Diceros bicornis minor: one gene and its partners. The protein of the gene in region 1 interacts with the protein of each later gene in a pairwise test. Links are inferred from orthologs where the notes say so. Each region holds a gene or a part of one and is shown in the gene's direction. Other genes may lie near its edges.

What was found.
Region 2: the proteins of EHMT2 (region 1) and RD3 interact in binary tests that used the Homo sapiens proteins (3 or more experiments, as listed by UniProt). The two-hybrid records come from large-scale screens. The link is inferred for Diceros bicornis minor from reciprocal best matches to the Homo sapiens genes EHMT2 and RD3.
Region 3: the proteins of EHMT2 (region 1) and KLF3 interact in binary tests that used the Homo sapiens proteins (3 or more experiments, as listed by UniProt). The two-hybrid records come from large-scale screens. The link is inferred for Diceros bicornis minor from reciprocal best matches to the Homo sapiens genes EHMT2 and KLF3.

The regions. Positions count from the first base shown.
Region 1 is NC_080753.1:32,913,369-32,921,177, forward strand, and holds the start of EHMT2 (histone-lysine N-methyltransferase EHMT2), read left to right. Parts: upstream 1-4,777; 5' UTR 4,778-4,798; coding exon 4,799-5,078; intron 5,079-5,174; coding exon 5,175-5,381; intron 5,382-5,480; coding exon 5,481-5,734; intron 5,735-6,530; coding exon 6,531-6,615; intron 6,616-6,707; coding exon 6,708-6,748; intron 6,749-6,861; coding exon 6,862-7,017; intron 7,018-7,809. Other genes in the region: ZBTB12 (zinc finger and BTB domain-containing protein 12), read left to right, coding at 733-2,112. UniProt on the Homo sapiens protein: Histone methyltransferase that specifically mono- and dimethylates 'Lys-9' of histone H3 (H3K9me1 and H3K9me2, respectively) in euchromatin.
Region 2 is NC_080743.1:77,296,533-77,303,911, reverse strand, and holds the start of RD3 (protein RD3), read left to right. Parts: upstream 1-4,369; 5' UTR 4,370-4,667; intron 4,668-7,379.
Region 3 is NC_080747.1:31,813,641-31,820,852, forward strand, and holds the start of KLF3 (Krueppel-like factor 3), read left to right. Parts: upstream 1-4,142; 5' UTR 4,143-5,222; coding exon 5,223-5,291; intron 5,292-7,212. UniProt on the Homo sapiens protein: Binds to the CACCC box of erythroid cell-expressed genes. May play a role in hematopoiesis.

The DNA.
Region 1 (7,809 bases):
CGCCGCGCGCGGGGCCTGGAACACACAGCACGAGCCGCCCCCGCCCCTCCCCCTTACGCCCACGCGGAGCCGGCCCCGCGCGCGCGCCCCGTGCACCCCCGCGCCTGCGCGGTGCCCAGGCCCTGCCCGTGCGTGGGGGCGCTGCCGACCCCGGGGGGGGTGGGGAAACAGGGGGGGAAAAAAACAGCGCGCGGAACCGGGCCAGGTGAGAGGCGCGTGCACTCAGGGTCGTGGGGCTGGGGGGGCGTGCCACGGAGTTCTGAACGTTGGGGGGGGCGTGCACGATGCGTGCAGGCGGCGGGGGGAGGACGTGAAAGGCGCGTGCAAACGTGCAAGGGGGGGCGGAGGAATGAGGCAGCGGCTAAAGGGGGCGGGGTGAGAAGAGGCAGCAACCTGGGCCACCCCAGAGCCCAAAGCCCCAGGCTTCTGCTCCCACTTCCCCCGACCTTCCCCTGTGGGCGCGCAGGCTCACCCCATCCTCGCGGGCAGTCAGGCTGGGGGGTGTGGATGCCGCTGCCCCGCCCCCGGGAACCACGCCTCCCTCCTCTCCGACGGACAGCGCCTCCCCGGGGGCTGGGGAAACTGAGGAAGAGGCCTGAAGACTGGGTGGTCTCATTCTGGGGGGTCGGGCCAGAATGGGGGCGAGGGGCCTGGAGCCTTGGCTTAGGAGAGCCAGAGACCTTTGTCTCTGACCAGTTTCCTTCCCAACCAGGGTTGCCCACCCCCGCCACAATGGCCTCTGGGGTGGAAGTGCTGCGCTTCCAGCTGCCCGGCCACGAGGCCGCTACGCTGCGGAACATGAACCAGCTCCGTGCAGAGGAGCGGTTCTGCGACGTGACCATTGTGGCCGACAGCCTCAAGTTCCGCGGCCACAAGGTCATCCTGGCCGCCTGCTCACCGTTCCTGCGGGACCAGTTCCTGCTGAACCCCAGCTCTGAGCTGCAGGTCTCTCTGATGCACAGTGCACGAATAGTGGCCGACCTGCTCCTCTCCTGCTACACGGGCGCCCTGGAATTCGCCGTCAGGGACATCGTTAACTACCTGACTGCCGCCTCCTACCTGCAAATGGAGCACGTGGTGGAGAAATGCCGGAACGCCCTCAGCCAGTTCATTGAGCCCAAAATAGGCCTCAAAGAGGATGGGGTCAGCGATGCCAGCCTTGTGAGCAGTGTCAGTGCCACCAAATCCCTCCTCCCTCCTGCCAGGACCCCAAAGCCAGCCCCCAAGCCCCCACCCCCACCCCCTCTACCCCCTCCCCTCCTGCGGCCTGTGAAGCTGGAGTTCCCACTGGACGAAGACCTGGAGCTGAAGGCCGAGGAAGAGGATGAGGATGAGGACGAGGACGTGTCTGATATCTGCATTGTCAAGGTGGAGTCGGCCCTGGAGGTGGCACACCGGCTCAAGCCTCCCGGAAGCCTGGGAGGAGGGCTGGGTATGGGAGGCTCCGTGGGCAGCCACCTTGGGGAGCTGGCCCAGAGCAGTGTGCCCCCCAGCACTGTGGCCCCACCACAGGGTGTGGTGAAAGCCTGCTACAGCCTGTCTGAGGACGCGGAAGGGGAGGGCCTGCTGTTGATCCCCGGAGGCCGGGCCAGTGTGGGGGCCACCTCGGGCCTGGTGGAGGCAGCAGCAGTGGCCATGGCTGCCCGGGGGGCGGGGGGCAGCCTGGGGGCGGGGGGCAGCCGCGGACCCCTGCCCGGGGGCTTCTCCAGTGGAAACCCCCTAAAGAACATCAAGTGCACCAAGTGCCCGGAAGTGTTCCAGGGCGTAGAGAAGCTGGTCTTCCACATGCGGGCACAGCACTTCATTTTCATGTGCCCGCGCTGCGGCAAGCAGTTCAACCACAGCAGCAACCTCAACCGCCACATGAACGTGCACCGCGGCGTCAAGTCGCACTCGTGTGGCATCTGCGGCAAGTGCTTCACGCAGAAGTCCACACTGCACGACCACCTCAACCTGCACTCCGGAGCGAGGCCCTATCGCTGCTCCTACTGCGACGTGCGCTTCGCCCACAAGCCTGCCATTAGGCGGCACCTCAAGGAGCAGCACGGCAAGACCACAGCCGAGAACGTGCTAGAGGCCAGCGTGGCTGAGATCAACGTCCTCATCCGCTAGCGTTAGCGGGGCAGGCGGCTGGGTCCCTGGGCTGGGCGGGAAGGGGGCTCTCTGGCCCAGGAGAATAGGGGGGTGGGGGTCGGGGGCAGGCAGGTACGGTGGGGAGCCTGAGCAGACACACACATCCTGAGAGAGGGGCAGAAGATTACTTGGAGAGAAGACCCTGCCTCTTCAGAAGAAAAGAATGGAGAGGGAGAGGGTTCTTTGAGAAGGCAAAGGAAATACAGAGTCCCAGAGAAAGGTTTTCTTTTAGAAGTGCATGGATATGTGAAGAGAGGGAAAGGGTCCTATAGAAACGAGGAGGAAAAAGGACTGGAAATGGTTATATTCCTGGCTAAGGCTGCCCAGGGAGAGGTTCTGACATTTCTTGAGGTAGGGGGTGGGTGGGTGGGAATTGGGAGGGAATTTGGCAGGAGGCAGCTTACATGCTCCACCTTAGAATAGATCCTTGGGAGAGGGAGTGGTAGGGGGAAGGGATTCTCAAATCCCAGAAAAGGAAGGGGAGACAGTTCTTGCATGCTGGGGGAATGGGGCTGTGGGTACAAGGCTCGCCAAAACTCCAGAGAGAACAAAGTAGGGTGTCAGGTAAGAGAACATGGGGGTGAGCATCCTGGGTAGATGTTGGGAAGTGGGGTACAATAGCAAGAACGGTGAATAGTGGTGGGGGTGGGGGGTAGGGCACTTAGAGGAAAGGACACGAGAAGGGCTGTTTGGGGGGAGGGAGAGGAGTAGAGACTTATATACAGTATTTTTTAAGAAAACAACGTATTTTTTAGGATTTTTTCTGGAGTTTGGGGTTTTAGTTTTTCTGCTTTTGTTTTCCACAAAATAAAAAAAAACAAAACCTTTTTTTTCTTTATACTCTGTCTGGTGACTGCGTGTAAATGACTATCCCACCCTAGGCAGCCTCTCCTTCTGATGCCATTTGCTCAATACCTGGAGGTCACAACTCATGCAAGTCCCATGCCTGAAGGAGCCCTAACAGGGAAGAGGGAGTGTGACAAGTGGGCTCCTCTGGCCCAGGACCCTCCCAGTTCTGCAACCTCAACGCCTGGCAGATATAACACAAATGTTCCGTGATTGTTTGGCAGTGGTAACACATGACCTGCTCCTCTATCTGAGGAGTCTGGTATCAGGGCCAGGGATAGGCTCTAGGTGTGACCGTTGTGCCCACCGAGATTGTAAGCAGGAGCCTGTGTTTGGGCATTCTTGGTCTGGGGAAAGGGCATGTCCTCGGGAAAGCTAAAAATCACTGGATTAGGGTCTAGGGAAGACTACAATTCCCAGAAAGCTCTGGAATAGTTCTTAACCAAAGAGAACTACAGTTCCCAGAAGGCTTTGAATTGGCCTCAGGTGCCCTATCTCGCAATCACCTGTCTGTGTCAAATACTGCGTGTGAAATCATACAGATATTTTCCAGACTCTGATCAGAATGTAATACCTAAAGGGATGGTACCCTAAACACTGCTATCAAGTTGGTATAGCTTGGTGTAATATCATTCATACTTCCACTTTCGGCTGGGCTATGACCCACGGAGTGCCTGACTCTGCTAGTGAAGTGTTTGTCAAAAAAGGTTACTAGAGTGTCACCAGACACTAATGACTCTTAGGCCGCTGGGGGGCTCACCTGGATTCCTATGCATGTGGTGGCGTAACATGTCTGGCATAAACATAACAGACATTTAGCCCCAGGTTTTCAAAAGGGGACGCTGCTCCAGGGGACATGAAGCAGCATGCTAGAACCAGCCAAGAGGAAAGGTGTCCTCCGCGCGTCCCCATCGCCTCCTTCTTGCTCGTTAGAGAAGCGAGGCCAAAACTGAGGCCGAGCCTTCCATCTGGTGACCCAGAAACTGAAAGCAACCAGAAGCGGGAGAAGCACACGCAGGCCAGATTGGAAATAGAACCGCTGCCGAGAGCCGGGAGAGTCAGACGCTCCGCTTGTTACCTAAAACCAGAGGGGGGATGCAGAAGCCACACGTGGACCCAGGCGTGCCTCGCCTTCGGTTCCCCGCTGAGGCGAGGCCAGGAATGGAAGGAATTCTCCCCTGCAGCCCCCAGCCTAGAACAGCCACTGCCGTCTCCAAGGCCGCTCTCGGGGAAAAAGGCCAGAAAGCACGTACTGGCTCCTTTAAGGCTCCTCCTAGCCCGCCCTCTCCCGCCCACGTGACCCGGGGCGGCCGCGCGCCGGCTCGGCCCCCCGCGCAAGCGGCGATGGCGGCGGCGGCGGGAGCTGCAGCGGCGGCGGCCGCCGAGGTGCGGAAGGGGAGGGGGAGAGGCGGGTGCATGCCCGCGCGCGCGCCCGGGGGAAGCGCGCGCCCGTGCAATGCTCCGGGGGTGCAACGGGGCCGGGGGGCCCGGGCGGGACTTGCAGCAATCCGGAGGGCCAGCACTGGGGGCGGATGAGGGGACCAGGGGGTGGGAGGTGGGGGGAGTGGGCACGGAGGCGCGCGTGCAGCCGCCGGCTGCCCCCGAGTGGGTGGCGGGCGCCGGGGCCCCAGGAGCACGCGCGAGGGGCACGAGGGGCCGTCCACCGGGCTGGGGGGCAGCGGGCGCTGGAGGGGTTGGTGCCCGGGGTCCCCGCGGCCTGGGGGACAAAGGGGGAGCGGCGCGTGCAGCCGGGAGGAGGGGGCGGGGCCGGGGCGCGGAGGCCCCGCCCCCTCCCCCTTCTCTCTTCTCGGCCCCTGAGATGCGGGGTCTACCGAGAGGGAGGGGGTTGATGCGGGCCCGGGGGAGAGGTCGTGCGGCCCCTCCGGGCAGCCGAGGCCGCGGAAGGGGGGGCCCCCATAGAGGAAGAGGTAGGCCCCGGAGCCTACTCTCTCTTCCCAGGGCCCAGGCGTCCTGGGCCCCCCAACTTCCTACTGGGCTGACCAGTCCTCCTATCCCTTGTGTCCCCTCCCAGGGGGAGGCCCCCGCTGAGATGGGGGCGCTGGTGCTGGAGAAGGAGCCCAGAGGAGCCAGCGACAGAGGTGAGTTTCTGGCAGAAACGGCCCGGTTGGACCTTCACCTCCCACAGCACAGGATTCCTTGAGCCCTTAAACCTGAACTTTTTTCTTCCCTTTCAGTTCATGGCTCTTTGGGGGACACCCCTCGTAGTGAGGAGACCCTGCCCAAGGCCAACCCCGACTCCCTGGAGCCTACTGGCGCGTCATCCCCAGCCTCTGTCACCGTGACCGTTGGTGATGAGGGGGCTGACACTCCTGTAGGGGCCACACCGCTTATTGGGGATGAACCGGAGAATCTCGAGGGAGATGGGGGCCGCATCCTGCTGGGTGAGAGGCTGGGGAGTCTAGGGGGTGAGGTGGGGTATCCTCTGACTCTGCCTTCCCTCTTATCTTGCCTTCTGCCTGCCTGCCCTGTCTGTTTTCCAGGCCATGCCACAAAGTCCTTCCCGTCTTCTCCCAGCAAGGGGGGTGCCTGTCCCAGCCGGGCCAAGATGTCAATGACAGGGGCTGGAAAATCACCCCCATCAGTCCAGAGTTTGGCTATGAGGCTGCTGAGTATGCCGGGGGCCCAGGGGGCAGTAGCAGCAGGGCCTGAACCCCCTCCAGCTACAACCAGCCCAGAGGGGCAGCCCAAGGTCCACCGAGCCAGGAAAACCATGTCCAAACCAGGCAATGGACAGGTGAGGATTGGGGGAGGGCTGCTGGGAGTGGGAGAGACAGGGGTAATCAACCGTAAACCCCTTGTGGGCTTTTCTACAATTTAGCTTTAAGCGGTCTCTAATCTATTCACAGCCTGATGTATTTACCAAGGGGCTACTGTGTGTCAAATTCTAGGCTGGGGCTTAATCTGTGAACAGACATATTCCTTCCTGTCTTTCTGGAGTTAACATTCTTGGGGAGAGGGGAGTAGAAGAGAGAAATGTCAATGAGCTAATTATGTAGTTAATGCCTTAATTACTCTTATGGTAATGACTATGTAAAGAAACTTTAAACCACTCTTCCTTTCTACCTCAAAGCAAGTCTCAAGGGAACTTTTCCTCCCTTCTTTGAAGCTGCCCCTGCTCCATTTTTAAAGATTTTACTATAAATCTCTACAGGGAAGGAGATGAGGGCCACAGAAATGACAGAGGAGGAAAATGACAAAGGCCCCAGAATCTCAGAAGCTTTATGACAGTGTTCTTAGGGTTCTGCATATCATTTTGTTCTGGGTGTGGTTTGGGTAGCTTTGGTGAAGGCCTTAACCTTCGTTTTCTCACCTGTAAAATGGGGAGAAAGGGCTTGCTTCTGTGTGAAGAGGTGAGTGAGTGTTAGGTATGGGATGTGCTTGACACACTTCCTCCCAGGATACAGCAGTTCATGTTCTGGTTACTGGAGCTTCAGAGGGCATTTTTGAGGGTGTGGCTCACCACCCCACCCCCACTTGGGGTTCCAGGCTAAAGGCTCCCTGACCTTAAATGTGCTCCCTCTTGCCCCCAGCCCCTAGTCCCTGAGAAGCGGCCCCCTGAAGTGCAGCATTTCCGCATGAGTGATGATGTGCACTCGTTGGGGAAGGTGACCTCAGGTCAGTCCCACCCCCCACCCACCTGAGGCTTGGTCTGGCCTGTCCTGACAGGTTAGAGCACAGACCTCACGCCTTTCTCTCTCTCCTTCCAGATGTGGCCAAGAGGAGGAAGCTGAATTCAGGAGGTGGCCTGGTGAGCCAGGAGAGGCAGGGAACAAGCCCTCTCCGCCTGGGGGGCTGCCCTTCCAGGAAATGGGAGGTTGATGGGTGGGGGGGAGCAGCTTCAATTTTTTTATCTTTTTCTAGTCGGAGGAGTTGGGTTCTGCCCGGGGTTCGGGAGAAGTGACCCTGGAGAAGGGGAACCCCGGGTCCCTGGAGGAGTGGGAGACAGTAGTAGGTGACGACTTCAGCCTCTACTACGATTCCTACTCTGTGGATGAGCGTGTGGACTCTGACAGCAAGGTGAGAGGGAGCGGCTGCCCTCCTGGCCAGCACCTCACCTCATCCAGGGCTTGCTCTCCAGTCTTGCCTGCCCCCTTTTTCTCTCTTTCCTTCTTATCTTCTGAACAGCCACTAATTTACTGCCGCATCCTGTCTATAACTTATTTCCAGTGTGTGTTCCACGCCATTCCATCCCTTTACCTCTCTCCACAGTGGTGACCACCATCGTGGACTTTGGGTTCAGCACCCCATTTTATGGTTTATTTGTTATTTGTTTTTTCTTTTGCTTTTTGTTTGGTTTTGTCTCATACATGTTTGATTATGTGATATAGTGCTTAGTCTTGCCTGTCTTGCTTTCATTTAACGTTTTATTATGGAAACTTGCAGATATACACAAAAGAATAGAGGAATGAGCCCCAGGTGGCCATCACCCAGCTCCCACAATTATTAAAACACAGCCGATCTTGACTTATCTCTTCCTTCCCCAACCCACACACCTACTGGATTGTTTCAAAGCAAATCTCAGGCATCATATCATTTTATCTACAAATATTTCCATATGTATCTCTAAACATAAGGCCTATTTCTGTTTTTTGGTGAGGAAGATTGGCCCTGAGCTAACATCTGCCCATCTTCCTCTACTTTATATGTGAGACGCTGCCACAGCATGGCTTGATAAGCCGTGCGTTGGTCCGTGCCTGGGATCTGAACCCGCGAACCCCAGGCCACTGAAGCAGAGTGCACAAATTTAACCACTACACCACTGGGCCAGCCCCCTATTTCTGTTTTTTAACATCACTGCATTACTATTTT
Region 2 (7,379 bases), on another chromosome or scaffold:
CTGGGCCTTGTGCTCCTTGCCCTTGAGGAGTCCTTATTCTGCAGGATGCTGAACCAGGTGCTCATTGTTTGCGTTAGTTACACTCTAAAAGTCGCTACCAACACTGAATTAGCAGACACTGAGCCATTGCTCCTACAGGAGGTACAGCATTAGGTTCGCGTGTGTGAGCCTCTGGTCACGGCATTTTTGTCAACCGATCAATACATAACTTTGTTTTATGTGTTTCTGTTTAAAGACACCTTATTTATATATACTGTTGATTCACCAACATTGAACTCATGGACCATAACTCATACTTGAACAAAGCTCATCCAACACACATATTTCTCCTTTAGGCACATCACGGCCTTCTTGTGCTTAGGAACGCCAGACAGTGCTTCAGCACTGCGCTTAGAGGGCGTTTTAAACAGTGAAATCACCAAGAAAAAGCACAAAGTGTGGAAAGTGCAGCCCTAACTACACCGTGAAGAGGACACCCAGGTAGGCTATGAGAGCTGAAACGGGAAGGCAGAGCATCGCCTCGTTCAACTTCAGCTGGGAATGTGCTCGCTGTCTAATTTTTCAACGCTTTTTACATGTCTGGAATGACGGGAATACTGCTGCAAGTATTGATTTGGGGGTTGCAAATAAATTTCAGCGAGTAAACAACTTTGCAAATGTGGAATCGGCAGGTAATTAGGATCGACCGTATGTACACGAGAACGAAGCTTCGGAGAGTGGAGTGGAGGAAGCAGGTGGGCAGACAGGAAAATTCTTTGAGGTTTTACCATTGGAGCTAAGCTTTGAGGGCTGAGACTTTCTAGGGGGAGGGCATTTGGGGCAGAGTGTACATCATGCACAAAGGCATGAGCCAATATGGGGTGAAGTAATGATTTCTTTGGGATGAAGATGGATAAACTGGGAGAGAACATGTCAGGGAAGAGCTCTGATCTCCAGGAACCAAAGAAATAGCAGAAAGCTTCCACATCCCTCCCTTCTCACAGGATTTTGCCCCAGTTAGGGTAGTGCCAACTGCTATAACAGAGAAACCCCAAATCTTAGTGGTTTGGCCCAATAAATTTCTGGCACATATTAGAGTTCAACATGGTGATTGGTGGGCAGCCTGCCACATGGGACCTAGGCCCCTTCAAAATTGTGGCTCCACCATCCTCTAGGGCCTCAGAGTCCTTGCCAACCAGCAGCAAGTGGGAAAAGATAGAAGGTGGAGAATTGCACGGGAGATTTTTCTAAGCCAGGCCTTGCAGTGGCACACATCCCTTCCACCCACATTCCATCGCCACACGGCCTCACCTAGATGCGAGGGAGGCTGGGTAATGTAGTCCCTGGTTGGACAGCTACTTCCCAGGAAGATGTCTACACTCTGGAAGAGGGGTGTGAATCTTTGGTGGACAGCTAGCTGTTTCTGCCACTGGCCCTCAGATCAGTCTGTCAAACCACAGGGCAGAACCTAAAAGAAGTCGGTGGTGAGTGAATTCTGTGGAAATGGGGCATCAAGGTGCTGTCTGTCAATAGACACTTGATGGTCAATAAACACTTCCTGAATGAATGAGAAATGCATTACGTCTCCCTCCAGAGTTCCCTTTAGTTTAATGTATATACATTTTAAACAGAATGAGTTTAGAGGGAAGAGAGGGGAAAGGAGAGAGAGGGAGAGAGGGGCTTAAGCAAGCCAGCTGGGAGAAAGGTGAGCGTTCTCATTTTTCCTATAGTCAGATACAGTGCTTCCTTTACCTGGAGAAGTAAATGTGGCCAGAGGAGTGGAAAGAGGGCTAGCCAGAGAGAAGAGATATGGGTAAATGCAGGTCTGGTCTGTATCCCTGGATATTATGTCAGTTTCATTCAGTCTCATTCAGGATTTGGGCAATATGGAGCTCTGCTAGACTCTGAAAATCCTATTCACGACCGAGCGGAAAGAAGCCAGGGAGGAGGGAACAGTGGGAGCACTCCCATATGCGCAGCCTCACATCTGGGGTCAAGGCTCTTCTCAAATCCCCCTGCAGTTTTTAATCCAGCCTTGCACCCAATGGCTTCTTAATTTCCCATCTCCAATTTATTAATCAAACGCCATCTGTGAGGTGATGTCATGGGCCCCACTGGTGCTTCTCCATTAAAATGGTTGGCGAATATTTAGCTATGCTTCAGCAACTTCCATTGATGCCAAATGAGAGAAAAAACAACCACCATCATCCCTCTCTAGTACAAATTCACACAGCATGGATAATCACAAAGGCTCCACAGGCTAACAAATCAAAATAAATGAGCAATCAACACAAACACTAAGCCATCTTTGAGTTATGGTGTCAAGGCAGCAGGCAGGGGAGGGAAGGAAGGTGGGGATGGCCCCCTCTCCTGGTCATGGGCAACACTGAAAAGTGCGGGGAAAGGGACAGCTCTGTTGGGAGGGAGGATGCTAAAAACCTGGTCATCTGTGTGTGTGTTCCCCAGAGTCACAGGTCAGGAGTCCTAAAGCTCACATCTTGTTTCAGCACACTGCTGCAATGGCATCTTCCTTTAGATGGCTCAAAACGTTGACCCATACAATCTCATTTACATTTATTGTGCTTGTGTGTTTGAAGGGTGACATGCTAAGACTAGTGTAGGGCTGTAGAAAAAGGATGAATGTTTTCATTCAAATAGAATGGTCAGTAGTAGACCCAAGGTTGTACCGCAGGGAGATAAAAGCCTTTAGCTCTGAACCCTAATACTGGCCCTACTCCCCACCCTCCTGCAAGACTTTCCTCTCCTACTCATTCCACCTAGCCTCATGGAGGCTTGGCTGGGAAGTGTGGAGAGGGGAGGGGAATGGGATCACCCATCCTTGGCCAGCTCTTAGCATCGTGACTGTACCGAACGGTGCTCTAGACGTACGTGTTGCAGGAATAAGTGTCTGACTTGGTTACTGACTCATTCTCCTCGTCACTTCTAGCAACTTTCCCAAAAGGAGGGCAGAGGCTTTTCTTCCCTCTGCTCCCTTCCCCCCAGCGTGGACATGCCTTAGAATTCCTGCCCTTGGGGAAGTTCCAGGACGGCAGTGAAATGCTCTGAGATGGGGACTCCTGGTTACCTGTCTCAGGTTGCTCTAGCTTTTGCTGGCCCTGGGGTGGAGGCCACTTGAGAACTGTAAGTCAGAGGAGATTATCTTTAGCTCAAAATGTGGGAGTCTCCCATCCCCAAGTGACCCTCCCAATGTCTGGGACTGTTGTGCTGTGACCTTGTCAAGAGAAGTGTATGACTCAGCTCCCGACTCAAGACTCCTGCTTGAGAAGGTGGATAAGGAGGGAAGGCAGATATGCCTAATGGAACCAGCCACAGAGTGAGCACAAAGTGGCATATCACACAAGGAAAAAAAATCACAACCTGCAGGCAGGCAGGTGTGCATCTGAGTCAGCTCGTCAGGCATAGTTTAATTTCTTCTTGGCTATGCTTTCTGCTTTATTGCCAACACAATCAGGACTAGATGTGTCCAGAAGTCACTCCATCACCTGGTACCTGCTATCGTATCCCCTGAGATCTGTTATAATGCTGCTCAGTACCCATTACAGCACCCCGAGGCCCCTCACAGGGCAACAGGCATCTGTGTCAGTGCCTCCGAATGGCTGTTAGGCGCAGGCTGGCCCACACGTGGCCTGTAGCCAGAATAGCTTCCAATTGACAGAGTGTCCAGAGCATGGAGACAGGCAGGAGGCCCAGATGTGAGTGTGGGATGCCAGAGAGCAGCAACAGGAGGCTCCTACCAGCCCCGCATGTTACCTCGAACACCTCAAAATCAATAATCACAGTCCATGGTCCCTCTTCTCCCTGGATTTTTTCCTCCCCCTCACCCCTCCTCCAGAAAGTCAGAGGAACTTTCTGCACTTGAACTTGCCTTGAGAGAAGGAGAGAATCTTGATTAGCAAGGAGGAGGACAGGAAAGGACGTGGTGAGGCAAAGGGGAAGACTATCCTTTCAGGCCCCTGCCCTCTGCACCCAGAAGCACCCGTCTCCTGGGGGAGGGAGTAGTGGAAAGAGCTGAGCTCTGGCCAGGAACAATCCACCGAGCAGCTGGAAACATCTGCCCACAGTCCGCTCGGGGCTCTGCAGAGGGTACGGTAACCGTGGTTTTGCTCCCCCAGTTTGCACCACCCTAAACGCAGGCCAGGGAAGGAAGGGGCGGAGGATGCCATCTGGAGGCAGGCGCTCTCTCTCCCCCTGAGTCTTCTCAGGTGTCTCTGTTAGGTCAGACGGGCTCCCTCTACAGATAATACAGCTCGAGGTGAAAGAGGCTTAGGTGGGTCTCCATGGCAACCACAGATCAGGAGCTGGCCCGCCTCTGGGGTTCATCAGAGGAGCTGTGGTTCCAGCCTCTCGGGACACGCGTGCACACACGCACTCCACAAACACCAGCCCAGGCTGGATCCCTCCTCTGGTCAGTGTTGTTTGCTCTCAGCACAACTTCTGAGGGACAGAAAGAGAGGAAAAAGCATGAGGCAGCAGCCAGCAGCAGAAGAGAAAGAGGAAGGAGGCATTTTTAGGACGTAGTTTCCCCTCTACCCTGCTCTCCTATGGCTGCCGAACTTGCTGCTTTTCCCTGAAAAGACCAGACACTCTCTTCTCCCAGACTGCGAAACAGAAAGCAGGACCCCCTGCTGGACGTTGCACCTCAGCAGAGGCTGACCTCAGAAAGCCAGGTAAGAGGGTGGTCTCCCCAGGGTGGCACCCTGGGAGCAGCTGAGCCTTTAGAAGTTAGAGCAGAGGCCCACGAGCCTGGAGCTGGGAGGGGTGGCTTCAGGGCTGTGGCAGGCTGGGGACAGCCTATTGAGCAGTCTGAGTCCAGGGCCCAGATGGCCACAGGGAGGCCCGTCAGTCCTCATCTGTTCCACAGGAGTGGACGGACTCTGCAGTATCCTCCGGGCCGTGGCCTGGTCCTTGCCTTATGGACCCACGGGAAGCCATAGCTTTTGTCTGCTCTGGAACCAGGAGGCTGTCTGGAAGAACACAGCCCCAGCATTTTCTCTTCTGCTTTTGTGGGGGGGACACAGGCAGGGGGAAGCAAGGTGAAACCCACCTCAGAGATTCTCTCATCGATTTGAGAACTGTGACTCGAGGACCTACTAGACCCAAGGTGCAGAGTCAGACTCCCAGGACACAGGCGTGAACAAACACACCGGCGATGTGCGGGCCTCAGTCCTCCTAGTCACGGAGCTGTCTGAGTCCTGATAACACACCCAGGAGAGCGGGCCTGGACAGAGCAGTGCAGGGTGGGCTCCAGGGAGAGGACCAGGCTTGGGAAGGAAAGTCTGAGCTGTGACTGTGGGATCAGGGTAGAGTTCCTTGGGGATCAGCCCCCTCCAACTGTGGTCAGTTGGATCTGAGCGCTTACCCCTCCTAGTTGCACCTCTAGGTGTAGGTCTGAGTCACACCTGGCTTGGTGAATTACTCTAAATATTTTTCTATGTTGCCGAAAAAACCCGCTAAGGTCAATTTGCAATCTGTGAAGTTGGCCTTGTACCTTGGCAAAAACGGGGCTGGGAGGAAGGTCCGTCAGGGAGGGGAGCGCCTACTCTCCGCACCTTCTGCGAGGCCTCTGCCCAGACCCAGGGTCCGGCTTCAGCAGAGCCGCTCTGACTGCTCGGTGAAGTGGCGGGTGCCCTGGGACAGCCCAGCGCAGGTGCCGCTCTGTGCTCACGGGTCCTGGGGGACATGCAGGGCAGCTCCTCGCCATGGCCTGCAGATGTCCAGCTCAGCTGTTAGAGCCCAGCTTCAGAGGTGGAGCCTGGGCGGGGCTGCCTTTGTGCTGAGAGAACAGCTTCCCTGCAGGGCCTGCACCGTCCTTGCTTGGTTGGGGGCGGGAGAGGGGGCTGGTGGCGTTGTACTCACCAAGGGCAGGTGAACCTCTCACACCTCCTGCAGGGGGACCAGAGCCTTGCTCCCAACTCCAAGGATACAACTCCATTGTTCCCACTGCTGAGACCTCCCTGGTCCCCCTCCACCTGCTAACTGCCTGGAACCACACTCCTCTTGCCCTTGAGGCCTGGGGATGGTTTTTTTCTAGCGTATCTAACGAGCCACAGCAGGTGGTAGTGTCTCCCAGGGAGCCACGGAAAAGACATTATCCTCAGAGATGTTCAAAAATAGGCTGAAGGGAGGGCTCAGAGAGTGTGGAGGTGGAAGGGATAATGAAAGGGAAAGGGAGGAGGAGAGGGAAGAACGGGGAATGACAGACAGACGGCCTTGGTGAGTGAGGCCAAAGGGCGGAGGTAGAACATGTGAGGGCTTTCCTGCTGCCAGCTGGGTCAACCGGGGCTCCACTACCCGAGCTTTCCCTTCATACGAGGGGGGTGGGGCGCTCAGCCCTCCCAGAAGCCAGCGTTCGGGCAAGGCCAGGAACAAGGTTGGGGTCAAACTTGCACCAAGGCAGGGGTTCCTTTACTTTCTGTGCCACAAGCCCCTTTGGAAGTCTGTGAAGCCTGTGGACACAGTCTCAGCAAAATGTTTCTAAATGCACAAAATTAAGTTCATAGGATCACAAAAGAAACCAGCTGTACTGAAATGCAGCTATGGACATATTTTTTTTAAAACAATTTGTGATATGGTAATACATGTACCTCTCTACCAACATGTAAAATAATAAAATGTAACGGCAGGTCTAACAAATACCAGGATTTTATAACAGTGATGAGCATAAATGATATTTCAAGAAAAGCAGCTTTAAAGTGTTATGAAAATACTACCCCTCCTAAATAAAATGATTACTAATATTTTGCCATATTTGCCCTATGTGCATGTGTGCATATATATGTAACATTTTCTGAATGATTTGGATGTAAGACATTGTGACACTGCAGCTGTGAACACCTCAGCACCGCCTCCTAAGATTGGGCTCTTTGTCAGTATTCCCCTATAACCATAACATCATTTTTATACCTAAGAAAGTCAACGGTCATTCCCTAACATCGAGCTCATATTTAAATTCCCCCAAATCTCCTAATTTTTTTTTTTTAAAAGAATTCAATCAATGTTAATGCATTGGAGGCAGGTGGTAGGCATCATTGACTGAATGGGAAGCAGGCATTTCTCATGGAAGGTTCCAGAGTCACCATGGTGCTGTCACGCCTGGTGGTGAGCAGGAGTGTGAGGGGCCTTAAAGCTTACACTGAGGGGGGCTAATCCAGAGCAAGGGAGGGGCAGAATCCTAAGCGTGCAAAGCACCCGGAGAAGACCACCCTTGCTGTTCTGACGAACGTTCTGGGCGTCTTTATCAGACCACACCCTGCCATCATGTTCTTCCCCAGACACTCGGTCACAACACAGACTCACACGAGGTGTTGCCCGTGGGTCAGGTCCTGGCGAGGCCCTGGGATAAGCCAGCCATCTCTGGCCTCTGTCTGACCCATCTGCCT
Region 3 (7,212 bases), on another chromosome or scaffold:
AGGCTCGCAGAGCGAGCGGCGCCGGCGTCATGTGACTGCCCGGAGTTGGTGCCAGGAGCCAGAGGGGAGCCAGGAGCGGAGCTGCGCGGAGCCCGGGCCCGACCGGAGCGCAGCGCGAGCGGCCGCCGCACGCGCGCCCGTCCCCGTCCCCGTCCCCTGCGGCCGCCGCCGCCCACTGCGCCCGGACTGGAGCGCTGACATTGCTGCATTCGCGGGGTCCAAGGCAGCCCGCATCCGGGCCTTTATTTCTCGTCTGCAGCGCTCAGCACCGCGCCTCGAAAAGTAAGTCCCTTCTCCCTCACCTTTCCTTCTCGGCCCGACTCCTACTGCCCCCCTTTTCGGCTCGTCCGGTTTCATTTTTTTCAGGGGGGCGCGCAGTGAATTGGTTGGGGGTGCAGCGCGGGGGTGGGGGCGCCTGTGGGCTTGGGAAAGTGCAACAGCTCCTCGTAGCCGGGGGTGGGGGCGGAGGGGGGGCGAGGGGGAGGGGGCCCCCGGGGTCAGCAGTTGAAAGTGTGGGATTGGGGAGGGCCACCGTGAAGATCCGCGAGTGCGGAGAGCGAGGGCTGCAGCGCCCGCCGCGGCCCCGGGGAGGGCGCGGGTGGGGGCTCACCTGTGTGGTCCCCCGGCCGCCGCCCGCCCGCCCGCGATTCCCTCCAAAGCCCCAGAAATCTCAGTGTTCTCCGCGTGTGGCAACGTTGTTTGGAGAAAGGTAGCGCCGAGGCCGCGCGCTCCTGCTCCTCCCCCTCCTGGTCCCCCACCCCCCGCTCCCGCGCCCTCCCCCTCCCCGCCCTCCGCCTGCGCCCCCCGCCGCCCTCCTCCTCGGACGGGGCGCGCGGCCGCTCGCCCGCTGGAGCAAACTTGGAGCAGCCTCGCGGGCCCTCCGGGAAGAAACTTAGGGCAATTGGGACTGGAGGCAGCATCCCATTCTCGGTTCTGGAACCCAGAGCTGCCAGGGCGTCTGGATCCTCGGGGGCAGGAGAAAAGAGCTGGCCGGGTTTGGAGAGCCCTCCTCGGGGGCACGGAGAGAACCTGCCGCAGTGCTTGGAGCGAGGATTGCAGCGTGGCTGGAGGCGGAGAGCGCCTTAAGCAACTGCCTGCGGCGTTAGGGACCCGAGCCGGGTGGGGAGCGAGGAACTGATCCCTGGACCTGGACCCTTGGGACCTACCTAACGTTTCAGAGTGGCTTTCTTGGAGATGGCAGATAATACCTGGAATTGTCAAAGCCACTTCTTTGGCAGATAACAAGGAGAATCTTTTCTGCTTTAAATTGAACGGCATCATACAATAATACTAGATGAAGGACATGTGAATGGGACTTACTTTTAATAAGGCGGGTTAAAAGGAAATTGGAAATTGCTCATTTTGTATTTCACTAAAATAAACGTTTTATGCTGAATTTTTTACTAACTCAGGACGTATTTTTCCGTTAATATCACCCAAGACACTTTAAATATATTAATTCTCACAAGAGTCTGGTACATGGGGAAAAGTATGAAGTGGTATGAATCTGACTTCATTTAGATTTAGTATCCGTAATTATTAAACAAAATCAAGTGGGGACGAGGGCAGTTGTTCATTATAAGTTTTTCCACAGAGCAATTTTGTGCTGTCCTTTTCAGAGTGTTTTATGTATGAATTAGAGGAGTATTTTTATAAGAGAAATCCAGCTGGATGATAATCTGTCTAACCCGAGGGAAGACTTGCTTTTAGGGGAAAATCTGAGAGCATTAACATCTCCAAAATTTGAGGAGTTAGTACTATTTTTTAAAGAAAGTGGACAAATGAGTTTCTTCTGGCTTGAAACATGGAGTATGTTAGTTGACATTAGGCTGTTAACAGAAAACTGAAGTGAGATGTTTGATTAATTTAAATTCCCTAGAGAAACATCTCAATTTCTACAGTCAGTGGGGTTTGCTGCAGAACAATTAGAAGAGAAAAGCCTAATGTACTATTGGTAAGTTCAATGAAGAGAAACTGTAAGAAACATTCTGCTTGTGTGAAGGAAAATGCAAGTATAAAAATCCTAATGTGAGAATAACAAAGAAAAGTAGCTATTTAGACCATAAACCCTTGTCAGATATAAAACACAGCCATATAACTTTGGAGAAAGCTATTGTTTTTTCACTGCAAAGTTTCTAAATTAAAACTCAATCTTCTGGTTGCTATGGGCACAGTGATGCCTTTTTTTTTTTTTTTTACCTGTAGTTATGTCTACACACAGATTCTTAAATCTCTAATAATGGAAACCTACCTGAGTTAAACAGACCTGGCTGACAAAATAAAGAGAAGTAATGGGAAAAGGACTGTGAATGGCTTTTACTACCTTAATACCAAAAAGAAAATAGACATTTTAGGATGTCTTGTAAAAATTGATACTCTATTCTACAGATTGTCTAACAATTTTGGATTAAATTAAATGTCAGGAACAAAATCACAGTCTCAAAAGGTGAATTTCTGTACATGTGTGTACGTGTAGCACAGATGTGCAGCTGTGTGCAAATGTTTATAACTATGCAGTTGAAGACTGAAAATTTGGGTTGCCTCTAGATGTCCCACGCTCTGTGTCTTGGAATTTAGTTCTGTGGCTAAGGGACACTTAAAATTGGTCCAATTTTCGGTTAGGTGGGATAACCCAATTGTAATCTGAATTGTTAACAGCAGTACTCTATCTTCATTTTCCTCATGATGCTCTGAGGCTGAACAATACTTATTACCCTAACCCAGAATTTGGTCATGGCTAGGGACCAGCCGTTGGGATGGGGGAGAAAGAGACAAAAGAAATCTGTAGGGAGGCTGGTGTTAATTAGGAAGGTCTCTGCTGCTTGTATATGATAAAATCACATGTTCACTTATGATGTTTACTGTATGTGGAAGCTCCTATTTGTAAATAGGGCAGGTCCCCTGTATAAAGCTGGTGTTATTATTCACACCCATAGAACAAACACCTCCACCAACCCCCATCCCCCGTTGTCTTAAAAAACTCCAGCTGCTCATGAATATAGGGTCAGGGAGGGCCGGCTAAATGTTTCTCTGTGCTTTCTCTCCAGCACAGCCAGCAGAGCTGTTTCCTGTTCTTTGTTTCAAGGCTGGGGTTTGCGTCATACATTCCAAGTGGCATATGTGTGCTCTTTCCTGTTTCAGGCTGTTTTCTGGTAGATCAGTAGCCCAGACCAGGCCATGGTCCCTGCCCCTAAACTCCCTATCCCCACCCTGGGAGTTATCATGTCTCTGCACACTTGCGATTGCTTAAGATGCCTGTGTTATGTCATAATGAGAAGTCAGTTAACCTTTTTACATACACCCTTTGCTCCAGTATGTTTATATGGGTGAATACATACTTTTGTCTTTTTAAATTTTTCATTGCCAAATTGTAATTTTAAGAAATTTGTGTGCATATTGGCTAGAAATCTAAAGGAGGTTGTATTTGTTTGTTTGTTTTTCATTCTGGTTTTGAAGTGGGTAGCGTGTTTGTTTTCAGATTGGCGTTTTGCCCTGAAGCTGTCAATTTTGGATCAGGATTATCACCTTACAGTTTAGAAGATGTAGCATTATCTGAAAGATGTGGCCCACCCTTCTTCACATTAATACAGGACGCTCAAGGCACAGGCTTCATTGGATGGAGAACTCAAGCAGTCTTGGCAGCCTAGGCTGACTCAAAAGTCTTGCTTATGTTTAAGGAAAAAATCTTTAGAGAAAGTATTGAAGCAAAGCATAAGATACATTGAGAAAACTGCAGGATTATTTCTTTTTGAAGACAAAGATTTAAATACTAGGATAATTTTTTTGAAGGTGAAGATTTTACTGTATCCTAGATCTGATTTCCAAACTGTTTTAAGAATAAAAAGCTCAAAGAAAAGGAGAACTGGAAATAAATTCATTTAATGATAATTTGGAAAATTTTAATCTAATCTTTTGAAAACAGAAGAATGCTTTTGTTTTTATTGTTTTACAATAACAACTTTTTCATAACACTTTTTTTTCTTTTTGTATGTGTATTGGCAGTTAAGTTAACAAATTTCTGGGTTAACTATTTAAAACCTACTTTAACAAATTATTTTTCTCTTGATTCTTCAGAAAATAAGTTTTAAAGAAATGATCAGAAAAAACTTTTGGCAAGTTGTTTTTTTTAAACTTATTTTTGGATTTTCTTTAAAATCTAAAGGGATTATCTACAACGTTCTCTAATGGAATTAATTCAGAGTTGCTGAGGCAGCAAATTAGACCCGATCCTCCCCAAAATTGATGATAATAGTACTTTGGTTTTAACTTCATGTCCCACCACATTCTTTATGGATAAAGGGATATATATAATATGATATTAAAAAAGCTACTAGAATAAATGGTAGGCTACTGATAACCTTCCATGAAAAAAGGTGGAAGTTTTGGAAAGTCTCAATAAGAATTTTCCTTTCTCCTTTGGAAGAAGCAAATTTGAAATATTAACCTGACTTGTAGGACAAGAGGCCTTTAAACTAAAATCATAAGTAAACCCAAATTGAAGCAACGTTTTTTGTTTTAGTTCCAAAGTTGTTAACAATCCACCTAGATTTGGTAGACAGACTCTTTATTTGGCTTACCCCAAATCCTTGCCTCACCATTTGGGGAGAGAGGAAGTGGTTAATAGAGATGATTAGGGTCTAACATATTCTATCAGAAAAAAAATTTTTGCAGGCTTTTAAATGCTAAGCTAAGCAATTGAAAAAATTATACCAGTCTGATAGTTACTATAATTACAATAAAAAAAATGGGAATGATATAGTTTCATCTCTTGACCCTGCAAATCATTATTCCTAATTTAATTCCATTTTATCTCCATCCCCCCATTAAATACTTGCCTTCTTAATATTTCCAAATCAACATTTTTGCTATAATGAACAGCTTTCTTAAGTGGTACTTCCAACTCTGTTTTCACACCCAGTTGTGTTTTAAAAAATAATAATAAAGTAAATACAAGCGACCTCAACTTTTAAATACTAGAAATTATATTATTCTGGAAATTGGGTTTCTTTCTGAAGTGCTTCATTTATCGTTGATTCTAGCTTTAAAAAAAAAATCCCTAGAATCAAAGAACAATTGATATCTGGCTTGCTATATACGTAATATTCTAGTCAGAATTCATCTTGGGGTAAGTTGGAAGAGAAAGATTATGATGGTTTTTAGCATTCTCGTTTTCAAGCCTGATCTGTCCCTTTCTTCGACCCGGTTTCTCATCTGAAGCAGTAATGCCAGAGCTCAAGACAGGAAACCAGACAGCAGTCTGCCCTGATAAGGGAGAGCATTGTCTACAGGAGGTAGCCTTGCTTTTCTTCCCCCCTCAACTCTCCTTCTTTGAAATTAAGTAGTAATAAAAGAGACACAATGCTGTAGACACAGTTTCTGAACCAGGACTAGGGCTGTTTTTTCCTAAAGCAAAAAAAAATATCCTTTTAACTGGCGCTCTGCTTTTTCTGGAATGTCACCATAGTTCAATGGGACATTAAAAAAAATATAGGTATGTTTTAATCCCTCAGTCAGCATGTTTCATAGTAAAGTTCTTTCTCTAGCAAAACAGGTTCCTGGAGCTTTTTGAAACTCACTCCATTGTGTTAGCAGACCGAATACATTATCATTTCCCCCATCTAATTATTAAGGGGAGCTGGGGACTGAACGTAGCACAGTTAAGTGGCCCTTCCGCCCATGCATTCCGTGTAACCCTGCGTCTAGCTCTTAGCCTGACTGCCAGGAAGGGGGTGCTTCCTGAGGCAGCCCCCCTTCCAAGAGGATCCTGAAGAGCCCACCTTAGCCTGGGACGTGCTCAAGAGGGTTGCCAATCTCTGGAAGGCCTGGGGATCTCCAGGGATGGCCTGGAGCTAGTCGCGGCCTGGAGCTAGTCGCAACCCGGATCAGTGGAGTTTGGCCAAATCTAGATGTAAGAGATCAAGTGGACATTGAGGTGTCCACTTGACATTCTACCCTGGAGAGCGACCTGTGAATCAAGTGTGTGTTTTTCTTCTTTGGCCTATATGCTCTTCTTTCTACTAACTACTGTTCTTTGAGTCTAATCACTGAAATCAATCTCCTTTATCTGTTCTTGCACTTTACACCCTGGTACCTTCCAAAGCTTTGTACCCCAAAACTACTTTCATTTGTAACTTCAAGTTCCTGTTCTGCTTAGTTCTCCAAACAAAGGAGTTATTCTGTCTCAAGCCTCCCAAAGTTTTCACATTTACTCTGCATTTTAGGTTTTAGAAGATGATTTTTGGGCCAGCTTCACCGGCCCCTGGGCAGATTCTCCTTGTGCAACACCTGCCGTACAATCATACTGAAGCCCTTGCCCTTCATGTTATCCTAGCATGTGAGAAGTGCAGTTGGCCATCCATTCATTTATTCATCTCACAAGTATTTATTGAGCACCTACTCATTAGAGCAGATTACGTGCAGCCATTATTCCTAGTTACGCCACAGGATGGAGTAGGTCTGGAGTGATCTAACCTGAAAACGCATTTTGAAATTTTAATTGCCCTCTGGAACCTCCCCATGGTACTGCCTAACATGGACTAGTGTGGCACTGCACACATCCCACACCCTCCGGACCAGGGGTGTGGTCCCAGGATAAGATGACTTGACTTAAAAGCCGATCCCACAGCACAGATGCTGAAGCAGAAGAGAAAGAGCCCTGGGTCTGCAGGCAGACACACTTCTGTTCTTGGCTGCAGCTCCAACCAGCTCTGCGAATTTGGGCGAGTCATTTCACCTCTGTTCCTGCATTTCCTCATTTCTAAAATGAGGATGAGGACCTGACCCTTCCACCTTTGTAGAGTTATTATGAGGATTTCCGTAGTTACTTGGGTAAAGCTGCCAATTTTTCTCAGCAGTTTTATGGACCAATTGCAGGTGCATTGGCTAGGAAGAATAACAGCCTAATTTGGGGCCTTCAGAATGTGTCTTTTGATCTTGTGTCCAAGCATGCATGCTAAGAGAGGGTAGGCAGCAGGGGCCAGTTGGAAGGAGTTGAAATCGCTGCTACTGTATGTACACTGTCCTCGCGTTCCATATCCGCCATGGACAGATTTGTTCGCAGAAATCAGTATCCCTCTATTACTGTTTGTGGTGTGACATTGTCCTCTGCCCAGGGGGCAGTAGAGTGTGGTGCCCAGTCCACCAGCTTTGAAGTCAGACTACTTTGGATTCAAATTCTGGCTCTACAACTTAGCAGCTGTGTGATCTTGGACA